Linked DNA regions of Tribolium castaneum. The protein of the gene in region 1 binds, or shares a complex with, the protein of each later gene. Links are inferred from orthologs where the notes say so. Each region holds a gene or a part of one and is shown in the gene's direction. Other genes may lie near its edges.

Region 1 (3,117 bases):
AAAGAGATTTCGGTAAACTGGTAAATTATGTAAAAGATTACGGAACCTAGATAAAAGTAAACCGAGAAATTGCTAAATTCTATGAAAAATGATTATATTTGGACCATTTTTGGTTCTTTTTGAGCTGAAAACTCAAGTTATTCGCGAGGTTTTGTTAAAATGGATCAAAAAATATCACTAATTATGTGAAAAAGTATAAAATTTTTATCTTTTCAAGAAATATTAGTGACTTTTACGGCCAAAAACGTAAATTTTTCGTAAAATATTAACCTAAAAACAATAAATAATGTCAAAAACGGTGTAATTATCATTTATTTAAAATTGAAAAATGTTTTAAAGTATGTTAAAAATTGTGCCATTTTTGCATTTTTTGAGCGTTCAAGCACCTTTTACCAATATTTTTTTTTGGGTGTTTGTACCCGTAATAGGTACATCTTAATCTCAAATAATGACTTTATTTCTGCCTTTTTTTTGGTGCTTGCAGTACATTTTGCAGCTAGTAATATACTTATTTCAAAAATTTTCGTCGAAAGAACCGTCCAAAAATAATTTAGTTGGAAAATGGTATCACCTGTTAAAAACTCAGTTTTCGAATTATTTCATTTAAACGACCCAAAAAAATAAATTTTGAATAAAATGATATATTTGTTTTTTTCGTGTATTTTCCAAAATAAGCCCGGAACTTGGTCGAAAAACGCCGTTGTGTTTCAATTTACTGAATTAATTTTCTCCTTTTCAGATGCAATACATTAAGTTTGTGACGGCCACCAATGCCGAGACCACGCCCTTTTCCTCGGGAGCCTCCACCCTCACGACCGTAAAATCGTCAATGCAAGCGTCCCCAACCAACATTGTCTTGTCGGAACTCAAACCGGCGTCCCAAGGCGCAACTATCGCCCCCAAACCGTTGAAAAACATTGCTGCAAAAGCCCCCGTCAGCAGCAGTCAAGTGGTGATGTTGCCAACGTACGTCCAAGCCAAAGTGCCGATCCCCATGCGCCACACCTCCGCCACCAAACAAATATCCGCAGAGAGTATCACAATGACACCCGAGTCCAATCTCGAGTCCAACGGCATAAGACCCCGAAAACCGTGCAACTGTACCAAAAGCCAGTGTTTGAAATTGTACTGCGATTGTTTCGCAAACGGCGAATTCTGCTACATGTGCAACTGCATGAACTGCTTCAACAACTTGGAAAATGAGGATCACAGACAGAGGGCGATCAAGACATGTCTCGAACGCAACCCTAATGCTTTTAGGCCGAAGATCGGCAAAGCGAAAGACGTGGCCGGGGACAGTTCGATCAGGAAACACACAAAGGGGTGCAATTGCAAGCGGTCGGGCTGTTTGAAGAATTACTGCGAGTGTTACGAGGCCAAAATCGCCTGTTCGAATAACTGCAAATGCATGGGGTGCAGAAATATCGAGGATTCGATGGAGAAGAAGAGTCTGAGGGCCTCGATTGAAGACGGGTTGCATAATTTGCAAGGGAAGATGGCACAGACCAGGGATCCGCTCCAGTTCAGGACAAGGAGGACGTCAAACAGCCGACAAGCGATTAATTTCATAACGGATGACGTTATCGAAGCGACCTCGCAGTGCATGTTGACCATCTCCGAAAGTGGGGATGCAAATATGCAAGATGAGCAAGTGACGAAAAGCCAGATTCTGGAAGAGTTCGGGAGGTGTCTCAAGGAGATCATCGATTATTCTATGTTGCACAACTGATGAAGTAGCGCTACGTGAAGTCAGACTTAAGTGTAGGTTACTAACTTTATTTTTATTTCCTAGGTTTAAGTTCAAATAAACTTTAATTACGGTTTTAAGGGCCGGTTTTTGCCCAAAACAACTACCCTAACGTCTAAAACCACTTAAAAATAGAAATAATTTCATTTTTTTAAATTATTTCCTTGAAACCCTTCGGTTTTTTTGCGGACCAAGTTTAAAAAAATTGCTGATTTTTCCTGTGTTTTAGCACGTACTTGCAAAATTTCGTTAAAAAAGACTGAAAAATCAAACTAGACCAAAAGTGGGCACACTGTTCAAGCGGCCGTGCAAATGCACAAATTTTAAACTCGGTGTTTAAGAAAATAATAAATAAAATCGTTTTACAATTGGATGTTATTCTTAGGTTAAATCATCACCTCACAGACGTTTTAAATTTTTGTAACCAACGGGTTAAACAGCTTAATAAATTTATCGTTTTTAGGGAAAACCTAATCAAATAAATCATAAATAAAAATAAATAAATAAATAAGACCCCTAATAAAATTTATCAAAAATTACGTACTATTTTTTAATAAAATACTGAAACGACCAGTTTTTTCTTTATTTAATTTTTGGAAGTATTAAATTCTGATAATGTTATTTATCTGAAAATTTGTGTACAGCTATAATCTGTTGTCCTGACCAATGAAAATTATTTTAAATAGAAAGATATGTTTTTTTACTGTGTTTCTGGGTATCTTGAGTTATTCCAAAAGGATTTTAATCGGCTGTCCCTATACGTAAATTTAACCGTTTTCAAAATATTTAGGGATTTTTTGAAAATCTCTGGTTTTGCATCTTTCACTTCAAAAATCGATAATTCTGTCATTTTTAGTTTTAGAAATCGTATTTGGACAATCAAAAAAATCTTATATTTTTTCTTCAGTGTTTTCAAAATTGGAAAAAAGTTTACAAACTTTAAAACCTGAACGTTGTTTTTGAACAATTTCTACAAGCTATAAGTCAATTTTTTCAAATAGAATGCCCCAATTAAATAGCATTCCCTAAATTCATTAAATTTAGATTTAAAAAACTTTGATTTCTTATATTTTATTCAGTTTCCGTGAATTTTTCAGTGCCAACAAAAAGTTCGTATAACTTGAAATCTGTTAAACATAAGTATAGGAAATGTTAATACAGATCGCTGCAGAATTAAATTCTCTACCATTAATTAGTGAAATAAAAATTGTGGCATTTTAATTGAAAATTTTTAGTTATGGTTGTTTGAAATTCTGCAAACTTAATCTTAAAAATTTGGAAAGGAAAGGAAATAAGGCAAAGATCTAAACCTTCTTTTTCAAATAAGCCAAAAATTTTTTAAAACAGCAGAGTTATCAATTTTTGAAGTC
Region 2 (3,418 bases), on another chromosome or scaffold:
AATTTGTTCGTGAAATTACGCTGAACTGGGGCAGAAAAAAAACTAGCAGTGACATTTATTTCCTATTTAAGAGGGTTTTAACACGGTTTGCATATGTAAGGACACAATTATTTTAAAGAATTTTGGCGCAAGTTTAAAGAAATTAAATTATTGTGCTCGAAAACGGTGTTATTGTCTGGTTTTTTTTGAACTAAAAAATTAAATTACGTTAAATGGTTTAAGTATATTTTCTAGTTAGCAAATTTTTAATTTAAGACGAAATCTTTAAATTGAAGCGGTAAGTACGTGTTTGAGCTAAAAACTCATTTTCTTCGCTAAATTTCGCTAATCTCTGCCAGAAAAATCGTCAAAGTCGGTTGAGAATGTCATTTATTTTGCTTTTTTTAAGGGTTTAAACGTGTTTTTCATCAAGAAACGCAATTATTTTAATCTTTTTCGAGAAATAAAACACATTTTTGAGCTCAATAGTCAGGTTTTTCGCGACGTTTTGATAAACTGGACTGAAAAATCATTAAGAAATTAGGTCAAATTGATTTTTCTACACTATCTTGTAGACAGGTTTTATAAAAATCCTCTTCTTTTAATCAATTTTTGAAAGTTTTCAAGGGCCATATAATAAGAAATGCATAACTGTATTTTATTTGAATATTTAATTGTCGAATTTACGAGTAAATATTTTGTTTTAAAGCTTCAGATATCTTCTACATATAAAGCAAACAGTGAAGAAGGATTATGATTTATTTCAATCACTGATAATTTATTATAATTAGTCAGCAGTTTCTGTTTCTCATTCTGTTCTCCACCTTTACTCTGTTTTGTATGAAACTGTCGTTTTTAGATCGAGGAAACTATACTTTCCTCGCTGGTCTGGAAATCAGACAGTTTAATTTGGGAAGCAATAACATCTTCCGATAGGGAAGTACCGAAATTCGAAGAGACGGCTTTGCCAGGGCATATGCAAAATGAACCAAGTTCTGAAAACTTAACCTTGAGAAGTATTCTCAATTCTGAACCAAGTATTTTTGCTATTTTTTATGTTATACGATTGTTACAAAAATAATTGTAGGACAAATTGTATCGCCTGGCCCTTCTGCAACAGACCGGTTTCAGTCACCAGTAGCACACAGCAGTGCTGTGAATAGAGAATTGTTTCCTACAGTTCAGTCAGGTCAATCTCTACTCCAAACGACTCATTTGAGTAAGTTTTAATCAACTAAATTAACGCATTTATCAAAATTTGCGTTTTTTAGTGATTAAAGATCGTACTGGGAATACTCGCATGATTCCTATCGTAAATAGTGAAACGCAAAAGAGCACCCCGGTGCCAGTTCAACAGACGACTCCACAACGTCAGGAGAATGTAGCTCAAGCCAGGCCGAGAAGAACAGGAGGTGTGTCAATAGTATTCAGGAAAGTAAGTAAAGTCCCGTTAAAATTTATAATTTTGCGGTTTAATGGCATCCAAGTGTTAAACAAATCTGCTCTACTTTCTAGAATTGGGTTTATTTCAGTGTAGTAATTAAACGCTTTTATTTTTTCCGTGAATTGTTAAAATTTTATATGCGGTCGTCATGGGTAAAGAATGACCATAAATCCGTGCACAAGTGCTAACAAAATTTATATTACCCTACTAACAGATGTCCACTAAAGACACATTCGTAATTTCAGTTCTATAATTTATCTGGAGAACGGATGGAGCACCTGTGCACACACTTAAAAATCACAAACACGGACACTAAGCGCAAAATCTGGACGGTCTTTGAGGAACTGGTTCGCAAAAACCACTGCGAATTGATGAAAGACCGCAATTTGGACCAGCTATTAATGTGTGCCGTCTACATGATATGCAAACTTACGAAACTCAACAAAAATTTTACGGAAATTATTAAAAGTTATAGAAGCCAGCCTCAGGCCACGAGTGACATTTATCGCAACGTTCTGATAAGCAGTAAAAAAGTCGTGGTTGTTGGTAAGCTCCAAATGACGCAGTTTGCGTTTTTTCTACGGAATATTTCAGATGGGGAGACGACCGAAATTCCGGAAGAATGGGGTGACTTGATACAGTTTTATAACAAAGTGATCATTCAAGCAATGAAAAAGTTTGCGCAGAAATTCGTAGTCCGAGGCGAGGAAAACGTAAGTTCGAAAATGTTTTGTTTGTAACGTCTTATTTTTGTGATTTAGATCGGAGATATACTTTTGAGTCCACTGCCGGCGTCCAGGGGGCAAGTGGTCCAAGTGTTTGACAACATTTTTATCAAGCCACTGGAAAGTCCGACTTTGACTTTCGGCAATGGCAAAGTCCTGAACTACTATTTCAGCCGAAGTCCTTCTAAGGACTTGAAAGACATCAATAAGGCCATAAGGGGCAATGGTGTGACGGGAAAACGATTGCTAGTGGAGGGCGAGAACGACTTGCCCGACTCGAAACGTCTGGCAAAGAGAAAAGTGCAGTCTTTGATTGAAGAAAGAAGAAATCAAAACACTGAATGAAGTTTCATTTAGATTTTAACGTTTATTATGTATAAAGTTTAATTCTAGCATAATTCAAACTTTTTTAATTCTAAAAATATTAATTTTTTCGATTTTGGCACCAGTTGATGCTGGCGTCTGGTTTTTGTTCACTGTTCTTGTGATATGCTTGGAAGTTTCCCTTCAAAGGGTCGAGTACTGAAACATCTAAAATAATTTATCTCAACTTTTCGTTTTAATTAATTAAATTACGTCAAAGTTTTATCGTGTGTTTGCCTTTTTACTTTATCAGCAAAAATTTCGTCGTAGGTTGGTTTGTACGAAGTAAACTTCACGTCTATTTTGAATAAATTGACCAATTGAATGACCATGTTTGTTTAAGTCTCCTTTTACAACCACAAGTGCCGAATATTATTTTTTGTCCAAAAATGATTGAAGAACTTTTATTAGCCTTGTCCTTATATCCATTTCTAAAATTATCTTCGTCTTATCAAGTATATTTTTTCCAAACTTAAATGGCGCAGTCAGTAGGATTAACTTAACATCTTTTCTACAAAATTTGTGGACTTTAGCCTTGGTTCTAATGTTTATATTACAGCTTCAAACATGAGGAGACCTTAGCAAGTCATTTTTCTTTTAACAGAAAAAAATAGTACACGTTTTGCCAGGCTTTCAAAAGCAAATTGTTTTAACCCAATTAATAAACATTTACTTTTTATCCCAAATCCGTTAGTTTGTGTTTTTTCTTGTTACGATTTGACTTAATTTCGCAACAAGAATTTTTTGATTTTTTTGACTCGAAGATATACAGGGTGGCGCTTAAAATTACCAGAAGCCGCTCCAAACGCTAGCTTGAAGCATCGTTGTTGAATTAAAATCTTCGAGTATTTACTTATTTAACATTTGCTCTGCCAAAATATTTACCAAGTATTCTCCCAGTTGCATC
Region 3 (2,995 bases), on another chromosome or scaffold:
TAATTAATGAATGACACAAGTGGAACACCGCCAGATTACTTAATTCGTAACATATGCTGACAACGTAACTTTAAAAATAACACACCCTTTGAATCAAATGGGACCATCCATCAACTGATGTAATTATTTACCTAAGTACCCAATTACTCACTTGATCTAAATATACACAATTCATAAAAGACTAACATAAATATTGACAGTGTTTAAACAAGATTAGCTCGCAATTTCCAGACTTACCTGTAACGATTTGTTCCTCCTGGGGTTTATCCTCGTTTCTTTTGAAAATAAAATCACCGAGGGCCCTGGAAAGGGCCAAGTTCCCGTTAACCCTGTTGTAATCAACAAACCCTCCCGCCGCTACGATCCTGTCGTACTCCTCCTTGTTGTTCGGCTTGTGGTCGTTCGAAAGCGGCTCCGCCTTGCCCCCAATGCTCGCCACAGCTCTAGAGTCCCCCACGTTGGCGCAGTACAACGTGCCATTTTTGATAATAATAGTGACGGCTGTGGAGCCCGACTGCTCGTTTCTCAACGACTCATCCTCCAGCATGACCCGGTCGATCTCCAAGAAGGCCTGCTTCAGCCCCTCCTCGATCTGGCCGTTCTTGTACTCCTCCCGGTTCGTGATAAACTTGTGCAGGTGCTTGCCCGCGTACTCCGAGATCTTGGAGCCCCCATGCCCGTCGTAGACCGCGAAAAACGCGGCCTCGGGGTCGTCCGGCAGGGACAAGATGTGCGTATGGGAGTCCTCCATGTTGATGCGCCAGCCCTGCATCGAACTTGAGCCCACTTGGAAATTGGCGTTTTGGCAGCATGCTGTGTTCTTGGCAGTCACCGGTTCGGACAAAGTTTGACCCATAGTACCCCTGAAAGGGCGATAAGTCCGCAAAAAGCGCAAAAACACGAGGCAAGCGGGAAAAAACCGTCGCTACTTACTCAAAATTGAACTCTGCTCTTTGGATGGGTTTTATTTAGCATACTTGTGCTAAATCGAATCGCATATTTTGCGTACGCTAATTAACACCGCTTTTTGCTGTTGTGTGTCACGAGATATGGAACGCAATATTTAGGTTAATCGGGAGAGAACTCTTCGAAAAAAGAGAAACTTGACGTTTGAATGTCGAGCTGGGACGCGGCCGGCTGAGTGCGTCATCGCCTGTGCACAAGGCCGAAAACTTTTTTATGTCCTAAACAATAAAAATGTGCGGCACGTTCTTCAAATAAAAACTATTGACAATAAATTCGTTGTTACTTATTACTAATTAAATTACGATTTGATTTTACAATCTTGGCGAGGGAAGCGCCAACATTGCGACACTTAATACACCAGCCAAATTTAAAAACCAAACTTTTACGAAATTGGGGGCAAGTGAATCGGGGTTGACACCCAATTAGGGTCATTTGCGACTTTTGCTCGTTCTGTATAGTGTTTCTTTGCCGCTTTCAAAGTCCCCCTAAAAGCGCAGCCTTTTGATTACGTTTGCTGCAGTTGGCACAATTGCAAGATGGCGTCCGAGAAACCCGGGAGCATTGAACAAGGTAAAGCATTTTTAATAAAAAATCACCCTGTAAATGTTACTTTTGGCTCAATTTAATTATTAAACGATTGTTGAGGCCTTGCATGGACAGTTTACGCGAAATTGTCGGCTAGCGTGCGTGGACAAGTTCGCATTTTAAACAGAGTGGCTTATGTCAATCTGTCAAAATATAATTGATTTGTTGCATTTCCTAGAGCAAGATCAATCTTTGAGCGATCTAGAGCAGACCTTAATGAGTATGGAAAATCTGGATAGAGCCTCTCCAGAAATTTGGCCAGAGAAGTGTAAGTAGCGTTGCACATGTTTGTGGGATTAGGGCAATAATAGGGTTTCAGATCCAGGAATGACAGATTTTGTAAACAGTTTCACGCCACCAAGTGCCGTAAAACTGCCTTACTCGAAGGAATTGAGTCAGGATGACCAGAATTATCTGCACCGTAAGTTTGGATTAGTTTTTGTGTGATTGTAGAGAAGAGTGTGGTTTTTGTAGAATTAGCAGCTCTTCCAACAGCTGGACTGATTTCTAAAGTCAAGGAGTTGCATGATATTGCATATCAGTTGGGTGTTGAGGAATCGAAAGAAGTCACAAGGGGGAAATACTTAAATGTTTTTAAGCCCAGGCAGAAGCAGAAATGATTTGCAATTTGTTACCTAAGTAGAGGTTCCAAATAACGTGGAAGTTATAAAAAGAGCAGGGGAAATATATTTGTACATAGGATTATAAGTTTAAGTTTAAAGAAGTGATTGTACGTTAATTTCCTGGAGAAAATCATTTTTGTAATGTATTATTAAGCAAGTGCTTCAAAAGGATTTATGTATTATATTGCACTGCTGAAGTTTCGTTTGTATAATAAAAATCGAAAATAAATTTGGTTTTGTAAAAGGTGTCTTCATTTTCTACAATTAAAATTTTGTTCCCCGTTAGCTCACCAAAACAATAATGAGGTGATGCATTATTATTATTATTATTATTATTATTATTACTGAACCCAGCAGCTTCCTAGATTAAAAATATCCGGTGGAATGTAAATTGATAATTATTTTTGCAGGAGATTAAGCTCTCTAATAGGGCCTTCAACTGTAAAAAATCATGTTCGGACAAACATTCCTTAGGACCTTAACATTTTTTTAATTTTTATAAAATTTCTCGATTTTGCAAATTGCGTTAAAAAACTCGTATTTAAGGATTGCTCTAATTAGTCAAATTAATAACTCATTTGTCCAGCAAGAACCAGAAGAAGGTTTAGAACATTCTTGCCAGGAAAAAAGGAATTAAGGATGAGGTAAACAATGATTATTAGAAAATAAAGGAATTATTTATGAAAAAAAAACAACACATAAATCAAATATTTTTTACTTGGCGTTAAATAAGATGCACCTACCTTCATATGGTTTCTGCGTTGGCTACTGTTTGTAGTTTGAAAATGTAAAAATTTTTACTTTTATGAATTTTGTGTCCG

The links.
Region 2: protein lin-54 homolog (region 1) and retinoblastoma-like protein 1 share a complex: the UniProt entries of both Homo sapiens proteins name them as parts of the DREAM complex. The link is inferred for Tribolium castaneum from reciprocal best matches to the Homo sapiens genes LIN54 and RBL1.
Region 3: protein lin-54 homolog (region 1) and lin-52 share a complex: the UniProt entries of both Homo sapiens proteins name them as parts of the DREAM complex. The link is inferred for Tribolium castaneum from reciprocal best matches to the Homo sapiens genes LIN54 and LIN52.

Annotation. Positions count from the first base shown.
Region 1 is NC_087399.1:5,902,920-5,906,036, forward strand, and holds part of protein lin-54 homolog, read left to right. Parts: intron 1-739; coding exon 740-1,729; 3' UTR 1,730-3,117. UniProt on the Homo sapiens protein: Component of the DREAM complex, a multiprotein complex that can both act as a transcription activator or repressor depending on the context. In G0 phase, the complex binds to more than 800 promoters and is required for repression of E2F target genes.
Region 2 is NC_087396.1:19,760,517-19,763,934, forward strand, and holds the end of retinoblastoma-like protein 1, read left to right. Parts: intron 1-838; coding exon 839-1,016; intron 1,017-1,066; coding exon 1,067-1,198; intron 1,199-1,250; coding exon 1,251-1,414; intron 1,415-1,668; coding exon 1,669-1,969; intron 1,970-2,017; coding exon 2,018-2,136; intron 2,137-2,184; coding exon 2,185-2,493; 3' UTR 2,494-2,840; downstream 2,841-3,418. UniProt on the Homo sapiens protein: Key regulator of entry into cell division. Directly involved in heterochromatin formation by maintaining overall chromatin structure and, in particular, that of constitutive heterochromatin by stabilizing histone methylation.
Region 3 is NC_087402.1:6,135,777-6,138,771, reverse strand, and holds lin-52 (protein lin-52 homolog), read left to right. Parts: upstream 1-1,388; 5' UTR 1,389-1,502; coding exon 1,503-1,536; intron 1,537-1,729; coding exon 1,730-1,819; intron 1,820-1,870; coding exon 1,871-1,972; intron 1,973-2,025; coding exon 2,026-2,171; 3' UTR 2,172-2,418; downstream 2,419-2,995. Other genes in the region: probable protein phosphatase 2C T23F11.1, read right to left, coding at 238-856.